3 linked regions of the Rattus norvegicus genome follow. The protein of the gene in region 1 interacts with the protein of each later gene in a biochemical or structural test. Links are inferred from orthologs where the notes say so. Each region holds a gene or a part of one and is shown in the gene's direction. Other genes may lie near its edges.

The links. The genes of interacting proteins can lie anywhere in the genome.
Region 2: the proteins of Atm (region 1) and Mdc1 form a complex in vitro, tested with the Homo sapiens proteins (2 studies listed by BioGRID, with this or other methods). The link is inferred for Rattus norvegicus from reciprocal best matches to the Homo sapiens genes ATM and MDC1.
Region 3: of the proteins of Atm (region 1) and Creb1, one has a biochemical effect on the other in vitro, tested with the Homo sapiens proteins (2 studies listed by BioGRID). The link is inferred for Rattus norvegicus from reciprocal best matches to the Homo sapiens genes ATM and CREB1.

What each region holds. Positions count from the first base shown.
Region 1 is NC_086026.1:62,743,850-62,749,397, reverse strand, and holds part of Atm (serine-protein kinase ATM), read left to right. Parts: intron 1-110; coding exon 111-284; intron 285-1,101; coding exon 1,102-1,215; intron 1,216-1,821; coding exon 1,822-2,036; intron 2,037-2,553; coding exon 2,554-2,761; intron 2,762-3,890; coding exon 3,891-4,004; intron 4,005-4,275; coding exon 4,276-4,434; intron 4,435-5,056; coding exon 5,057-5,195; intron 5,196-5,291; coding exon 5,292-5,374; intron 5,375-5,548.
Region 2 is NC_086038.1:2,907,010-2,912,557, reverse strand, and holds part of Mdc1 (mediator of DNA damage checkpoint protein 1), read left to right. Parts: intron 1-247; coding exon of another isoform or gene 248-249; coding exon 250-385; intron 386-1,011; coding exon 1,012-1,392; intron 1,393-1,473; coding exon 1,474-1,549; intron 1,550-2,174; coding exon 2,175-3,496; intron 3,497-3,607; coding exon 3,608-3,673; intron 3,674-3,811; coding exon 3,812-3,901; intron 3,902-4,860; coding exon 4,861-5,088; intron 5,089-5,548. UniProt on the Homo sapiens protein: Histone reader protein required for checkpoint-mediated cell cycle arrest in response to DNA damage within both the S phase and G2/M phases of the cell cycle.
Region 3 is NC_086027.1:73,435,131-73,440,678, forward strand, and holds part of Creb1 (cyclic AMP-responsive element-binding protein 1), read left to right. Parts: exon of another isoform or gene 1-715; coding exon of another isoform or gene 716-735; intron 736-1,855; coding exon 1,856-2,038; intron 2,039-2,986; coding exon of another isoform or gene 2,987-3,050; intron 3,051-3,973; coding exon 3,974-4,124; intron 4,125-5,548.

The sequences.
Region 1 (5,548 bases):
CTCCGAAAAAAAAAAAAAAAAGATAGTCTCCGAAAAATAGTAAAATAGTGAGGGTCTCAGCGAATGCCTTGCTGGTAACGTGTTTATTTCCATATGCATTCTCACTGTAGCTCCCTGAAAGAGCAATATTTAAAATTAAGCAATATAATCCAGCTATTTGCGGAATCTCTGAATGGCATTTGGAAGAAGCACAAGTATTTTGGGCAAAGAAGGAGCAGAGTCTTGCCCTGAGTATCCTCAAGCAAATGATCAAGAAGTTGGACTCCAGCTTTAGAGAGGTGTGTGTCCTGTGTGGTTGGCTGCATCGGTGTTTTATGTCCTCCAAAAGATGTCTGCTGCAGAATACGTCTGTACTGGTCACATTAAGGCTTTGAAATCACTGATCCAGAAACAAAATAATATGAAAGAGACCTTGAAAATTAATGTCAGAAATGAGACTTGAAAACTTTTTCCTAAATCTATCAATCTGTCTTGAAGTATATTCATTCAGTTTATATTCTATAGAAGTCAAAAATAATATGTAGGAAATGAATGGAAATACACGTTGTAACTTCGAAGTAGCAAGAACAAAAATAGAATTAGAAATGTCTGGGAGAAGAAAAGTAGAAAACAAGTAACAACAATTTGTCATTCTTTGTGCTCTGAACATATTCACACTCAGTGGACAGTGTAGGACATTGTAGGGTCATGAGTTATTATTAATTATAACAAAGTACTAGGTAACAGTATAACTTACTTAAGTATTTCCTAAATAGTGTAGACCCTAACATGTGCAGTGGTTTTGTACCTGAGTCTTTGCACTGGCAAGTAGGTAATAATGATATATCTAATCTATAGTATTCCTGTGAAAATTATGGGTTAATATGCATAAAGCTGTTGGAAATTTCCTGGCATTGTAAAGTACTCAGTAAATGCGAGTTGTTAGTAATAGCTAGACAGTTCAGGGCGGTTATTTCATAAGCTCACATACTTAGAAGTATTTCCTTATATGGTAAAAACATGAGGAAAAATATTTTTCATCGTCTTTTTCTACCTACACAGAAGACACTTTTGTAATCTTGAAAAGGAACTACATTTTAAGATTCTTGCTTCTTGATACAGAATGAAGCAGGTCTAAAAGGCCTACACGCAGAGTGTCTGAGGGTTTGTGGCAACTGGCTGGCAGAGACTTGCCTAGAAAATCCTGCAGTCATCATGCAGACCTATCTAGAAAAGGTAGGTTGTTGGTGCAGCTCTGAACGTTATTGTCTACTGTAAATATGCTTAATCCTCTTATGAAGCCTGCATGCATCTCAAAAGAAAACGAAAGTGTGGTTTCATTCCTTCAGTTCCTGCTGGGGCTCTCTGTAATCCCCAGAGCAGAATGAAGCAAATGCCACCAAGGAAGGAACAACTTTGAGTGTCTTCCGTCCACTCTGTAGCCCCACCATTCAGGAAGCCATTTCTGATTATTCTGCATTTACTCTACAGAATATCTTATCAAACGTAGAAGCCACCTTTGCCATTTGTGTGTAGTCCAGCTACTCACAGTAAGGGTCAGGACTTCAGTTCTCGAGTCCCCGTTAGCCTTCCTGTTTCGCCTGCTCTGTCCTTTAGTGTCACTAATTTGGGAGACCGGAAGTTTAGTATGAAAAGTAAGATGTGTTGTCTCCCATCCTAAAGAGCTTCATTCTCGGACAGTTCAGTGCAACTGCTACCTGATAAGGGTTCCGTACCATCAAGTTTCTCGTTCATCTAGAAGTGAGTGGGTTGCCTTGGGCTGCGAGTCTAGCTCTATTTATGCTTATAAACATGGTCTTAATGGATTGTGTGTTGTTGAAGGCAGTGAAGGTTGCTGGCAGTTATGATGGCGACAGCCGAGAGCTCAGAAATGGACAGATGAAGGCCTTCCTCTCATTAGCGCGGTTCTCTGATACGCAGTACCAGAGGATTGAGAACTACATGAAGTCGTCCGAATTCGAAAACAAGCAAGCTCTCTTAAAAAGAGCCAAGGAAGAAGTGGGTCTTATAAGGGAGCATAAAATTCAGACGAACAGGTAACTTTATACGCTAAAGGGCGTTTTACAGGAAGACCGCCTTGAGCTTGTCATCTGAATTACAGTTTTGAACACCTAAATTAGCATTTTTACAGGCTTCCTCAATCCTCTCCTGGTTAATCACAACTGCAGTCGGTTAATACACTGCCGTGTTTTCCTCCGAATAATTAATGTCTTGGTTTAGCTCTTGGCAGAGTACATGGATGTTAGTTTGTTTTGCTAGATACACACTAAGTATAGAAGACCTGCCTGCTTTGATGTCGTCACGCTACTTTTAAGTCTGCACTAGGTTCTTGTGTGTTTAGAGTAAGCAGAGAACTAACTTGGAGTCTACTCTGTCCGTGGGTGTGTGGAAGACCTAGTAATTGCTGGTGTGACAAGCCATTTAGTTCCTTTATATTATATTTAGGGTTTTTTGGAGTAAACGCCTTGGTTTTCGTTTATGTTGTATATCATGTACGATTTTATAGTTACGTAAAGTTTTGTGACTTTTATGTTTGAATTTATCAAATGCAAGATACACAATAAAGGTTCAGAGAGAACTGGAGCTAGATGAATGTGCTCTCCGTGCACTGAAAGAGGACCGTAAACGCTTCCTGTGTAAAGCAGTTGAGAACTACATCAGCTGCTTACTAAGCGGAGAAGAACATGATCTGTGGGTGTTCCGACTCTGCTCCCTCTGGCTGGAAAATTCTGGAGTCTCTGAAGTCAATGGCATGATGAAGGCAAGTCTTACCTAACCCATACACTTTAAACGGAGGCCATGGCCTCCTCAGTGTCTGTGTACCCCTTGTAATGGGTCTGGTGCTCCACAGATAAGCACTTTGTAAACTCTAAGTGACATGGGTTTGTGCGGAGGCAATGGAACTTCTCTTAGCGTTTTACCTTTGCAGATGACATAGAGGAGTCCATAGAACTACACTGGAGAAGAGGAAACAAAAACAATGTGACACTAAGCAAGAATTTTCCTTGCTTTTGTTTGTGTTTTTGAGGGCTCTTTTTTCCAATAGAGCACTTTTACAAATAAAAAAAAAATCACAGCATATACAGGAGTACTTGTAAGTTTTTAGTGAAAAAAAATCTTTTTTTTTTTTTTAAGATTTATTTATTGTATATGAGTACACTCTAGCTGTCTTCAGACACACCAGAAGAAGGCATCAGATCTCATTACAGATGGTTGTGAGCCACCATATGGTTGCTGGGAATTGAACTCAGGACCTCTGGAAGAGCAGTCAGTGCTCTTAACCACTGAGCCATCTCTCCAGCCTGTGAAAAGAAATCTTAAGATGTGGTCATAAAATAAATATATATTGTCATTTAGTTTGAAGTTTCTGTTTGTAGATACATAAAATGTTTCTACAGAATGGAAAGACTGGTAAGACTCAAAATCAACAAAACTAATCTGTTCCACTGTGTGTGTGTGTGTGTGTGTGTGTGTGTGTGTGTGTGTGTGTGTGTGTGTGTTAAACTTAATTGCCTCTGGCATATGGGGAAAGGAACTTGAGTCTGTTGCCCCTGACTTCTTGGGAGTTGAGACCACAGTAGACTTGGATTCAAATCTGTCCTCCTCGGAGTCACTGGAATGGATGTGGTGGTTAGCATACCAGCTCTGGGTACAGTTTGATTGAGGGCTAAGTATTTTTATTATCACTGAATCACTAGGTGAATTTTATTATCACCTAGGCTTTGCACTAGAAAGACTTTCAGGTAGGGGAAATTGTCTAATTGGTAAAGTTTTGACAGCCACTAGGGTGTACTTAGTGGAGGACCATTATTTTAGAAACCATTATTTTGGCTTAGATGTAAGATTATATTACACACACGTTTCTATATTTTGCATTTTTTTAATGGCAGAGAGATGGAATGAAGATTTCCTCCTATAAGTTTTTGCCTCTCATGTACCAATTGGCTGCTAGAATGGGGACCAAAATGACAGGAGGCCTAGGATTTCATGAAGTCCTCAATAATGTAAGTAGACTTGAAGTCAAAAATGTAATAATTACCTGTCTTTTATATTAGTAAAAATGAGAAATCAAAGTATTAAATTTTCTCTTTCATTGCAGATGTTTGTCTCTCATGTCTGACATTCAGCTGTAGCTCTCTCTCACAGACAGATACACACGCTACTTACTGTACAATAATGACATTAACTTGAATTTGATGATAGGTAATACGAAAAATGTATATTTAAATTTTTTTTCTATTCGCATGAAACTAACAGTTATTAATCTTCTGATAGCTCATCTCTAGGATTTCAATGGATCACCCCCATCACACCTTGTTCATCATCCTGGCCTTAGCAAATGCAAACAAAGATGAGTTTTTGAGCAAACCAGAGACAGCAAGAAGGGGCAGAATAACCAAGAATGCACCCAAAGAAAGCTCTCAGCTTGATGAGGTATTTGGGTTAAATACAAGAATGCTTTTGTGTGGTGATGGTCGTTCTTTCCCAGAACATTCCTGTCTTAATTCTCAGAGACGTTAAGGATGCACGTTTCTGGTACTGCTCTGTATCCTGTATTATGGAGCTGCCACCCAGAATTGGTTAACAATTCCTAAACATGTCCCAGAGCATAAATGCCAGTTTGATTTTATTTTCATGAAGCAGTGGGCACAACAAACCCCAGAATTAAAAAAAAATATATTCGTTTATTTTTAATGTACACGAATGGTTGGCCTGCACCGTATGTATATCCGGCACCTACAGAAGCCAGGAGAAGTTTTTGGATTCCCTGGACCTGGGGTTGCCATGCAGGTTCTGAGAACCAAACCTGGGTCCTCTGAAAAAGCAGCGAGTGCTCTTAACCACTGAGCCATCTCTCTGGGCCCAGAAAAACAGATATTTGAAAAGTGCCCAGGTCATTAACCTTGAATGTCCTTATGTGTGCATTTCACCCACTGGGTGGGTGTTCTGTTTGTATCTGAAGAACTATAGTCCTTCCGTCATCCAGATGGGTGCATACATTCTTGTTGTATAGCTTACCAGTTGGGTGGTTCTTGTTCTTTGTGGTTGATGGTAGGATCGAGCAGAGGCTGCAAGCAGAATAATCCATACAATCAGAAGTGCGAGGCGTACAATGGTGAAGGACATGGAGGCGCTCTGCGATGCCTACATCATCCTGGCGAACCTGGATGCCTCTCAGTGGAGGAACCAGAGAAGTATGTGTGAACGAGTCGTTGCCGCAGCTCCAGCTTGGTCTGCAGCGCTAGTCTCCATTTACAGCTGCCACTAAAACCCCTTTATTCTTAATGCAGAAGGCATCAGCATTCCAGCCAACCAGCCAATCACTAAACTGAAGAATTTAGAAGACGTTGTTGTTCCCACTATGGAAATTAAGGTAGTTTACTATTAAAACTCTTGATTTTTAATCAGACTAAATTACACATTAGTAGATTAAATTATTTGTAGATTTTTTTTTCAGTCCAAATGGCTAATGACTATAGTTTCATGTTTCTTGTTTTTTTTTTGTTTTTTTGGTTTTTTTTTTGTTTTTTTGCCTAAGCCTTAAAAT
Region 2 (5,548 bases), on another chromosome or scaffold:
GTTGTGTACATCTTTAATCCCAGCACTTGGGAGGCGGAGGCAAGGGGATCTCTGAGTTTGAGGCCAGCCTGGTCTACAAAGTGAGTTCCAGGACAACCAGGGCTACATAGAGAAGCCCAATCTCAGAGAGAGAGAGAGAGAGAGAGAGAGAGAGAGAGAGAGAGAGAGATCATTTCCACATTTACCCAGGTTTACCTCTAGTTATTTTTTTTCTGACAGGAGCAATGATAATGTGTTTCCTTTATAGATATGGAAAACACTCAGGTGATTGACTGGGATGCTGAAGAAGAGGAAGAGACAGAAATATCCAGTGGATCCTTGGGGTATAGTGTGGAGCCTATAGGGCGGCTGCGATTCTTCAGTGGTACCCATGGACCAGAACGAGGTCAGGGGATATTGGGAGCTAAAGTATGAATGTGGGTCTTATTAGAAGAAGTTAGAAGGTTTCAAAGGGGATATGAATAACTGTACTACAAAGGATGCCAAAGAGGCCACCTGAGTTGACTGTTCAAGGCTGGTGACCTGGATTTTCTAGGAGTGATTTTCTTTTGTCAAGAGAAAATGAAGAGCTTCAAATAAAAATACAATGTGGGGACTAAAAAGATGGCTCAGTGATTAAAAGTGCTTACTGCTCTTGATCCCTGTACTCAGGAGGTGACTCGAGAATTTGAGGGTAACCTAGGCCACATAGTGAATTTGAAAATAACCTAGGCTACATGGAAGACCCTAAATCAAAAAACAAAACAAGAGCTATAGCCATGGCTCAGAGGGAGATTGCTTAGCTAGCATGCGTGAGGGCGCTCTGTTTTCACAGTTGAGCAGCTGGGAAAAAACAAAAATAATGTGAGTAGATAGAACATTGCTGATGAGTGGTACATTATAAATGCTTTTCTGTGCTGGCGTGCCCTGCCTCAGGGTTTGTTGTTGGTTGTTAATGGTTAGCGTATCTAACCAGAACATCTTCAGGGCAGGACTCTGGCCTTACACTCATATCTTTTCTCTGATCCTCAGATTTCCCACTCTACCTTGGCAAGAATGTAGTTGGTCGAAGCCCTGACTGCTCTGTGGCCCTGCCTTTTCCATCCATCTCCAAACAGCACGCAGTGATTGAAATCTCAGCTTGGAACAAAGCCCCTATCCTTCAGGATTGTGGGAGCCTCAATGGCACTCAAATCGTAAAGCCTCCTAGGGTCCTAGCTCCTGGAGTGAGCCATCGTCTGAGGGACCAGGAATTAATTCTGTTTGCAGACTTTCCCTGCCAGTACCATCGCCTGAATGTCCCACCACCCTTGGTCCCTCGGAGTCTTCTAACTATAGAGAAGACCCCCAGAATACGGGGAAGATCCCAAAATTCCAGAGTTTTGTTGGCTGAGGATTCAGAGGAAGAAGGAGGTAAGTTTGTGCCTTGGGTATATGTGTGAAAAGACAGGGATATTGATATAAACTCAATTTATTCTTTCTTATTCTTGCCAGATTTTCCTTCTGGAAGGTCTGTGGCAAATGGATCAAGGAATACAGCATCCCCTTCAGCAACAGTAGTTCCAGAAAGGTGGGTACCAAAGTCCAGATACCTGAATCATTTGTTTTTGTTTTTGTATTTTTCAGACAGAGTCTCTGTGGCCCAGGCTGGTCTCAGACTCGTGGTAATCCTCTAGGTTCAGACTCTGTATTGAGATTGCAGGGTTAAGCCGCCATACCTGCTTTTAGACAATTAAGCCTTTGAACAAGGAGTCAATCTTGAAGAGATGATTGGTTTTCTGTTTTGTCTTGTCTTGGGGGGTTTTATTTTATTTTATTTTTTTTATTAGCCAAAGCACATACTTTATTTATTTTATTATTTTTATTTTTATTTATTTTTTTAAGACAGGGTTTCTCTTTGTAGCCCTGGGTATCCTAGAACTGGGCTTCAACTCAGAGATCCACCTGCCTCTACCTCCCAAGTGCTGGGATTAAAGGCGTGGGCCACCACTGCCTGGCAGATGATTACCTTGAAAGGTGGAGCTGAGGGCCTTCGCATAATTATTTCCTCAGCTGAATTAAACCATGATGAGTACTGCTGATGTACTTAGTGGGGAGGAGAAAACAGCTACCAGCAGTGCCTGCTTTACGGTCCTCACAGCTGAGCGGGTGTCTCTAGCCAGGAAACACACTGTATAGATCCTTTTTCTTTGCAGTGATGAAGAGGGCTCTTCTCCAGGCCCAAGTGTCCCTGGGCCATCTTCACCCTTTGGTTTGGGAAGTGACACAGATGAATCACAAGGTCAGCAACCAGGAGTAGAGGAATCTTCTTTAGCTGACAACAGTGGTGCCGCAGGGGAGCCTGAGCAGCCTGAAGTGAATGGAGTGACAACTGGCACACTGGCTCAGCCTACCAAGGACAAGTTCAAGGACACAAAGATGAAGGAGGAGGCAGGCAGTGCAGGGGTTCCAGTTGGGTCAGTTGTGGAGGGGAGCCCCACTCTTGGGGAAGACAGTGACACAGAAGCGGATGAAGAGCGTCAGCCTTCTGGTTCTGGGGATAGTGATACGGACGTAGAAGAAGAGAGGGTCCCTGTGAAGAAGAACCAAGTACTGCTTGGGGTTGGTATAGGGGGTCCAGGAGCACGTGGTGTGGCACATCTGCAGGACAGCCCAACTGGTAGTGACACAGATGTGGAGGAGGACAAGACTGCACTGGCTGCCCCTCCAGAGAGAAGCCACACAGCCATGGTGATCAACAGTGATACAGACGAGGAGGAGAGGGGTGAGGAGGAAGAGGTCTCGGCAGCACTCACCTTGGCCCGTCTGAAGGAGAGAGGAATTGCTTTGTGGAGTGGAGAGCCAGGCACAGAGGAGGTCAAGTCCCAACCACAGGTCCTTGTAGAACGAAGCCAGAGTGCCTCTGGGAGAGACAGTGACACTGACGTGGAGGAGGGATCCTCAGGGGGAAAGAGAGAGATTGTCCCTGACAGCCCCATGGATGTAGATGAGACTCTTACTGTCACACAGCCAGAGAGCCAGCCTCCCTGTAGGCCCAATGATGTAGACGAGGATGTGGATATGAGCTCCCCTGGCAGCCATCTAGAGGGAAAGAAGGCCTCCTCTGCTCTGGTAGACAAGAACAGAGCACAAGTGGAGGAGGAAGTCCCAGGGCCATCTGTTACCCTGGGGGAGAAACACCAGGTGCCTCTAGAGGGAGCCCAGCCTCCTGAGGAAGCCCGGGAAACAGCTGTGCAGGAAGGCTCATCCTCACCAGTGGCAGACATAAGAATGAGCCAGCAGCCAGTAGCGGAAGATGCTGGGACAGAGTGTGCTGCAGCTGTTTCTGAACAGAAAAGTGCTCTTGAGGTCGGGGCTCAGAGCAGGTCACCTGCAGCACCCGTGGAGCAGGTGGTGGTACGCACAGATACTTCAGGGGATCCTACCCTGCCACAGAGAGAGGGAGCCCAGACCCCCACAGGAAGGGAAAGAGAAGCACATGTGGGCGGGACCAAGCATGCCAAAGAGTGCTGTGATGGTAAGTGTTGCCCTCTGCTCTGCGTTTGACCCTTAAATAAGGCTTAGGAGAGAACTGCAGGAGTCTTCGGGATGAGTTGATTTTTATTTGTCTCTCATCTCTTCCCACCAGAACCTGAGGATCTGTGCCTTTCAGCCACCCAGTGCTTTGTGGAAGGGGAGAGCCAGCACCCAGGAGGTGAGGACATTGTGTGCTTTGGATGGGAGTGCCAGGGAGAGCTGGGCGATCAGACCAGTGGTCCTTGAAAGGCGATGTGGCCAAGTAGGGGGATGGGATTCTGGGACAGCTGCGTTGTGCCCACCTTTTCTTCTACAGCTGTCCAGAGTTTGGAAGATGAGCCTACCCAAGTCTTCCCATGCCTTCCCCAAGAGCCTGGACCTTCCCATCTCAGCCTCCCGACTCCAGGTACACGGAAGTCTCTGGACCCCCAGCCTTGCATCCTTTCTTATTTTTCCCTCCACATCCTTCATATGCTGTCTTGTTAGATTTACCTATGCTGATCTTCCAAGTGCCGGGATTATAGGTGTGTGTCATCAGCTAGGGATGGACTAGGACGTCATGAATGCTGGATGAGCTCTCCCAACTGAGCTGTATTCCCAGCCCTGCCTTTCATATTCTTTCCCTATTTTACTGATGTTCTCCATTTCATCAGGAAAAGAAACTTATACCAGACATGGGGACACACACTGTCTCCCAGAACTTGGGAGACAGAGGCAGGAGCTCAGGGCCATCCTGGACTGCATAGAAAGTTTGAGGCCTTGACTAAATGAGAACTTGTCTCAGAAACAACAACAACAAAATCCAACAACATGGGCATGGCTCAATGGTTAAGAGTGGCCATTGTTGTTCTAGAGGACAAGAATTCAGCACCCATGTCAGGCAGCTGGCAACCACCGGTGACTCCACTCCTGGAGATTCATCGCTCTCTGTGTACCCACACACATGATATACGTATGAATAGAAAATTTTAAAATACATGTTAAAAAAATAAATAAAAATGAGATTGCCTAGATTATCCTGATTCTAGTTCAGGAGATTTAGGTTGGCCCAAAGACTCAAATTGGTTTTCCCTCTACATTCTCCTTAGAGTTTGAACCCAGGGTTTTACCTGTGACAAATGAGTATTCTCCTAAGATGAGTGTTTTCCTAAACCACATCCCCAATCCTTGTTTTTCAAATGAGCCTCCTGAGGGAGCCTGTGTATGAGGTTATAATCTTCTGAATAGCAGCAACATTACAGCCACTACCCTACTCCCAGATTTCCTTTTGTAACCCATTTAGCTGTTTGTGAGTCTGCCCTAGTTCTCAGCCTTAGTGATTTTGTTTACCCATGTACTTACCTCCTTTTTCTGATCCTTGTTTAGGTGCAGATACCTTGGATGTGCCTTGGGAAGTCTTGGCTACACAGCCGTTCTGTCTGAGAGAACAGACAGAGACCTCTGAGCCCATTGACACCCATGAAGCTCATGGATCTCAACCATCTCTACCTGGGGAACCACCAGGACACCAACATCCGGTCCCTACCAGCCTAGATCACACAGAGCTGTTGAGAATTGATGACAGAGAGATGCAGACTGTGGAGAAAGCCATGGGTATACCAAAGGAAATGGCAGAAAGGGTGACCCCTGAGAGAGAGCCATTGGAGAGGGAAATCGGAAAGAAGAGCAAACAGTGAGAGAGAAGATATGATAGGAAAAGAACTAACTCAGGGGACAGAGGACAGAGTCAAAGAAGGTGTTAGCTAAAGACAGTCAGAAAAGAGGCTGGCGAGGACCCTGAAGAGAAGAGGGAGAGTTTGGAGGTAGAAATGGAGATGTCCAAAGACTCACAGAAGAGAGAGAGAAAAGCAGAGAAAGCAGAACCAGAGAGAGAATGGGAGTTTAGAAGTAAGCCCAGATAGAGGGGAGACAGAGGAAGGGAGCCATGAACAGAGAGGGCAAACTGCCAGTCTAACACCAAAGCCTGCTGGGGTGAAGGATCTTGAGGGTCTTGCATCAGCCCCAATAATCTCTGGGAGCCCAGGAGATGGAGGAAAGGGAGACCCTCTGAGCC
Region 3 (5,548 bases), on another chromosome or scaffold:
CAAGTAATCTTACAAAGTTAATCGTAGAATAATTCATAGACATTTTTTAACATCTAAGATAGTAAAATCTGGAATTAGCTAACATAGCATTATATATGCTAGTATGTTAATTTCCACAAATTTATCACCTTGATAAAGTGACTAATAGTCATGAACTCATAGCTCTTGATTGAACAGTGAATTATCCATTTTCTGTGCGCATACCACTCAGGATAGTATAATTACCCAGAGGTCACCGATAATCCTAAATTAATTTACTTCTGTTATACAATAACTTAATTAGGTACATTGGTACCACATTTTTTTTTTAACTTTCCTTTTAATGCAATTATAATCCATTATGAAGAGCTGGGAACAAACCTCAGTTGACAGGGTGTATTCCTACCATGTGTGAAGGTTTGATTCTCAGCACTTGCCCATCATATGCGCGTGCACACCAACACACACACACACACACACACACACACACAATTTATGAAATTGCTCAGGTAAAATTATAATTTTTAGGTTTTTTTTTTTTTTTGAAAACTTGATCCTTGGATTTATCTGAGGAGTCAATCATATTTTTCAGTTCCAGTATCCAAAGATCATGTATTTCAAACAAGATAAGAACTTACCTTTCAAGTAACTTTTTCTTTGCACTGTTGTGTAAGGTTGACTTGGATGAGTGCTGAGTGATTTTCATTTGCCAGATAGTAGCTATTGTGCTTCTTCATCAGCAGTCAATAGAAGGCTCTGTGAAGACCCAGACAAGGAGCTTAGAACTAGATAAGGTGCATCTAAATGAGAGTCTGTCTCTAGTTTTTTTTTTTTTGGTTCTTTTTTTCGGAGCTGGGGACCGAACCCAGGGCCTTGCACTTCCTAGGCAAGCGCTCTACCACTGAGCTAAATCCCCAACCCCCTGTCTCTAGTTTTAAACTTCATGAGACAATCATAATAACTGAGATCCAGGGTATTTCACATCTTTCATTGATGAGATTTTTGGTGGGGATGATGGGTAGTAGGTAGGTGCTAGAGACTGAACCCAGCCAGGGCCTTGGATATTAATGTATTAATGGTTTTTCTTTTTCTTTCCTTAAATATTACTAATTTCATTTATTTATTTTGAGATGATGTCTTACTATTTTTCCCAGGCTAGTCTTAAACTTGTAGCTCAAGTGACTTTTTTTTTTTTTTTTTTTTTTTTTTTTTTTTTTGCCTTAGCTCCTTGAGAAGTGTCATGGCTTTCTAAGTGCACTACTGACAAGTTTATAAATTGCTCTAAAAGTTAGAAAATATAATTCACTGAGAGAGGGCCTTATTAATCATACTTTTAACAAACATTTATTGGGTGCTTCTTATATTAATTAATTTTCTACCTGTAAAAATGTATTTACAATTAAAGCAGCAGGTAGTAAACCATTATATGAGGGAGTTGACGGTACTGTAAAGAAAGTATTGTTGTAAAGCAGGACCTCCTTGGAGTTGAAATAAGTTCAAAAAGAGTTTGAGTTTCACTTTTTTTTTTTTTTTGGTTCTTTTTTTCGGAGCTGGGTACCGAACCCAGGGCCTTGCGCTTCCTAGGTAAGCGCTCTACTACTGAGCTAAATCCCCAGCCCCGAGTTTCACTTTTTATGTTGTTTGTTACCATGCATTATTTATTGTAGTACAGTTCATAGACTTTATTTCTCACAGAAATTGGATATGGTTTCCTGAGTACACAGTTATTTGAATAAACCAAGTCTTCCTTGGTGGTGTTATTTTCTAGAGTAATTTCTCCTAGAATATGCTTTGCTAATTGCATGGGTTTAGTGTGTTTTAAAATTTTTATGTGGTATTAATTAAACTTGTAACAATAAAATTCATTGGGTTTTAGTTGCCATTACCCAGGGAGGAGCAATACAGCTGGCTAACAATGGTACCGATGGGGTACAGGGCCTGCAGACATTAACCATGACCAATGCAGCTGCCACTCAGCCGGGTACTACCATTCTACAATATGCACAGACCACTGATGGACAGCAGATTCTAGTGCCCAGCAACCAAGTTGTTGTTCAAGGTAATAGAATTAAGAATTCATACATACGGTACATTCTTTTAAAAATTACTGTGTATACTCATGAAAAGTAAGTATATTGCAAAGCACTACTAAAATAGTTTTCTTCAGTATAGATTTAGATATTAACAATTTAGATATGTATATATTAATACATAAATAAATATTCCTCATGAAACTTTCCATTATCCCACTTGGACGAAAATGTCATGGCATAAAAACAACTATCTTTTAGCTTTAAAAGGGTGATACCTGTCTTCAGTGCCTTCAGTAGTCAGGGGAGGGAGAACCAGGATGCGTTAGAAGAGAACTGAGGAAGCTGTGGCTAAGCTACATGGCTTCAGGTAACGCCCAGCTTCCTTGGGCCTCTTCCTTTCCCACCTCATTGTTTGCTACAGGTCACTATGGAAGAGCTTTAGTGGATTCTGCTCTCTGTTTTGTTTATCTGTTTTGTTTTTTAATTTTTACTTAAAAGGAATATAGAGATTTTCTCAAGTCATCAGTTTTGATTTCAGATAAAAACATTTCAAAAGAGCATATGTCATTATGCAAGTTTGCTCATTGGAGAGTAAGTTGTCCTTAAGTCCTCGACAGACTAGAGGATTTTGGGGGTTTTTTACCAAAATTTCAGGAGTGTGGAGAGTACTAACTCTTCTCCATTAATTCATTGAACAGTTCATAGTTTATACCGGATTAAAAATTTATAGAGTAAGAAAATTTTTGCTTCTAAAAATATTTTTGTTAATAATAACTAATTGCGTGTGTTAATGAGAGTCGTATCCCTTCACCATGGATATTACTTTTGGATCATACCAAAACACCAAGTAAACATCTTTTGTTTAATAAATTCTAATATATTTATATTATGTATCTTGTTACTAGACCAATGATATTTGAAAAAAAATATTTGCTTATTAGTGGGAGTAAAACACCTTTTCACTTTACATGCAGGTACTCAAAAAATTGTAAAGCAGGATGTCAGTGACTTTGAATTCTCAACGTCAGTTTGAATATGGTAACATGTTTAGTATATAAATCTTTGTCCCTCAAACAATACAATTGGTATTTTAAACTAATACGAATGATTTTATGAAGACCTTCAAGATCTCTCACATAGTGCTAGGGTACTTATTAGAACATATTATCACACTGTTTCTAGAAGCAAATAATGGACAAATGATTTTTTTTTCACATATGGAAATTGTATGGTTAGGAAAATCCAAAGCTGAGTGAGGTGACAACACATTTTAATCCCAGCACTTGGGAGGCAGAGACAGACAGAGGCAGGTGGATCTCTGAGTTCTAAGCCAGCCTGGTCTACATAGCAAGTTCCAGGACAGCCAAGGCTACATAGTAAGACCCTATCTTAGAAAACAGAAAAGAAAAATATCCAGCTCTTACGTATTTATTATCACTTATATTAAGATATGTTTACATATACCATGATTGGCATCAAATGTCCAGTTTTTCATACTTTGAGTTTTGTTTGAATTAGACATTTATAATAGTTTACCATATGCTCATTTTCTCTTCTGTTTTGCTATTTTATGAAAAATCATGTCGTTTTTATGTCGTGGCAAGAGTCTACTTGAGATTTTTAATGTGGCTTTATCCCAATCAAGGGAAAACACTGAGACCTTTATCTAGAAGAATCATCTGTGCTGGGCCCCGTTTTCCTTCTAGACTAAAGGTTGACAAGCATGTAAACCACATAATAGATCTCCATTCAGTACAGCATAACTATAAGACCCAGCAGAGACACTAAGGCATCCTTACCTGTACGTGTGCTAATAGTACAGTAGATTGGGATCTTCTTTTTAGCTAGGATCATGTTCCCTGTTTCCCTTTTAATCTAAGTATGTTTAGATTGATTGGAGACATAGTTGAATTAAATTGTTGTGTTTCTGTGTCTTATGACTTGTTCGCTCTTCTTTGCAGCTGCCTCTGGTGATGTACAAACATACCAGATTCGCACAGCACCCACTAGCACCATTGCCCCTGGAGTTGTTATGGCGTCCTCCCCAGCACTTCCTACACAGCCTGCTGAAGAAGCAGCACGAAAGAGAGAGGTTCGTCTAATGAAGAACAGGTATAGATATTCCAGACACTTAAATGCTATGGGTCAAGTATGTGTATGAACGCTTCTCTGCACACCTTTATATCTGCTAATAGTAGGTTCTATGCATTGACTTTCTTTTTCTGGTAGAATTCTGATAGATTTCTGGTGAATCTTGCTAATGCCTCTTTGTTTTAAGTTGCATTTATAAAGTGGCTAATGGGACTTTTGGTCAATCTTCAATCAAAAAGTAATTTTTTTCATAGTTTTTCCACAAGAGATTTAAAATGCATAGCTTTAATGAATTTGTATTTTATTCTAGCCAATAGGGTAGGTTAATTAAATTTTTTTCAAAAGTAATATTCCTCAAAGTGCATATGTATACTAACATTAGACTATAGTTTATTTGCATTAAATTTATTTGTAACAGATATACGGTAGTCATTTTTGTTTTAATGAATACTTTCTTTTGCATTTTTATGCACTTAAAGATTTATTATGCATGTCTTATGTATATGTGTGGATGCCCACATTTATACCATGAAGGGCAGAAGAAAGCATTAGATGTCTTGGATCTAGAGTGACAGAGTGACAGCCACCTGTCTTGTTCTTTGTTTTGGGGTCAGAATCTTGCTCTGTGGGCCAAAGTGGCCTCGAACTCTTGATCCTCCTGCCTCTTTGAGTGCTGGGATTACAAGTTTGTGCTACCATGCCTGGCCTTAGGAGGCATGTACTTTCTTACTCAGAATAATAATTTAACATCCAAACGCTTTTAAAATAGAGTAATTCTAAAAATATGGTATTCCTGACAAAGCCTTAATGCATAGTTAATGTTGGTCTTCAGAAATTAAAGTGTTGCATAGGAGAAGCTATAAAACATAGGTAAAGCCTTTCTTAGAAACTTATTTGCTTTTAGATCAGTTTGGTATCTAAAAACAAATGGAAGTTATTAATATGGAAATGGTCAAAACAAAACAAATACTCTGAGGAGGCCATTGGAGTGTTCACCACACAAGCAAGAACAGTGGAGTTCAGATCCCCAGAACTCATATAAAATGCTTGGTAGGGCCCTATAATCCCACTCTGATGGCAGAGATGGGGTTCCCCATGCAAGCTGGTCTGTAACTCTGGGTTTAAGAAAGCGATGTCTCAAGAGTAAGCTGAAAGCAACGTCGAGGAAGAGAGGAAGATAGCCTTCCCTTCACACACAAAAACATGGGGGATACCAGGGGCAGTGATGGGGGAGGGAGGGGGACAAAAAGAGAATCGAGGTATATAAAGATATCAACTCTTCGAAATTGACAAAATTCTTTTTACCTCAAGTGTCTAAATACTATGCTAAAGTAAATGAAACAGAAATTGTACTTAGAAGATCTAATTTCAAATCCTGCATTCACCCTTTAGCTATGATTCTGGAAGAACACATATTAATTTTCTAAACTTGGGTTTCTACCTTT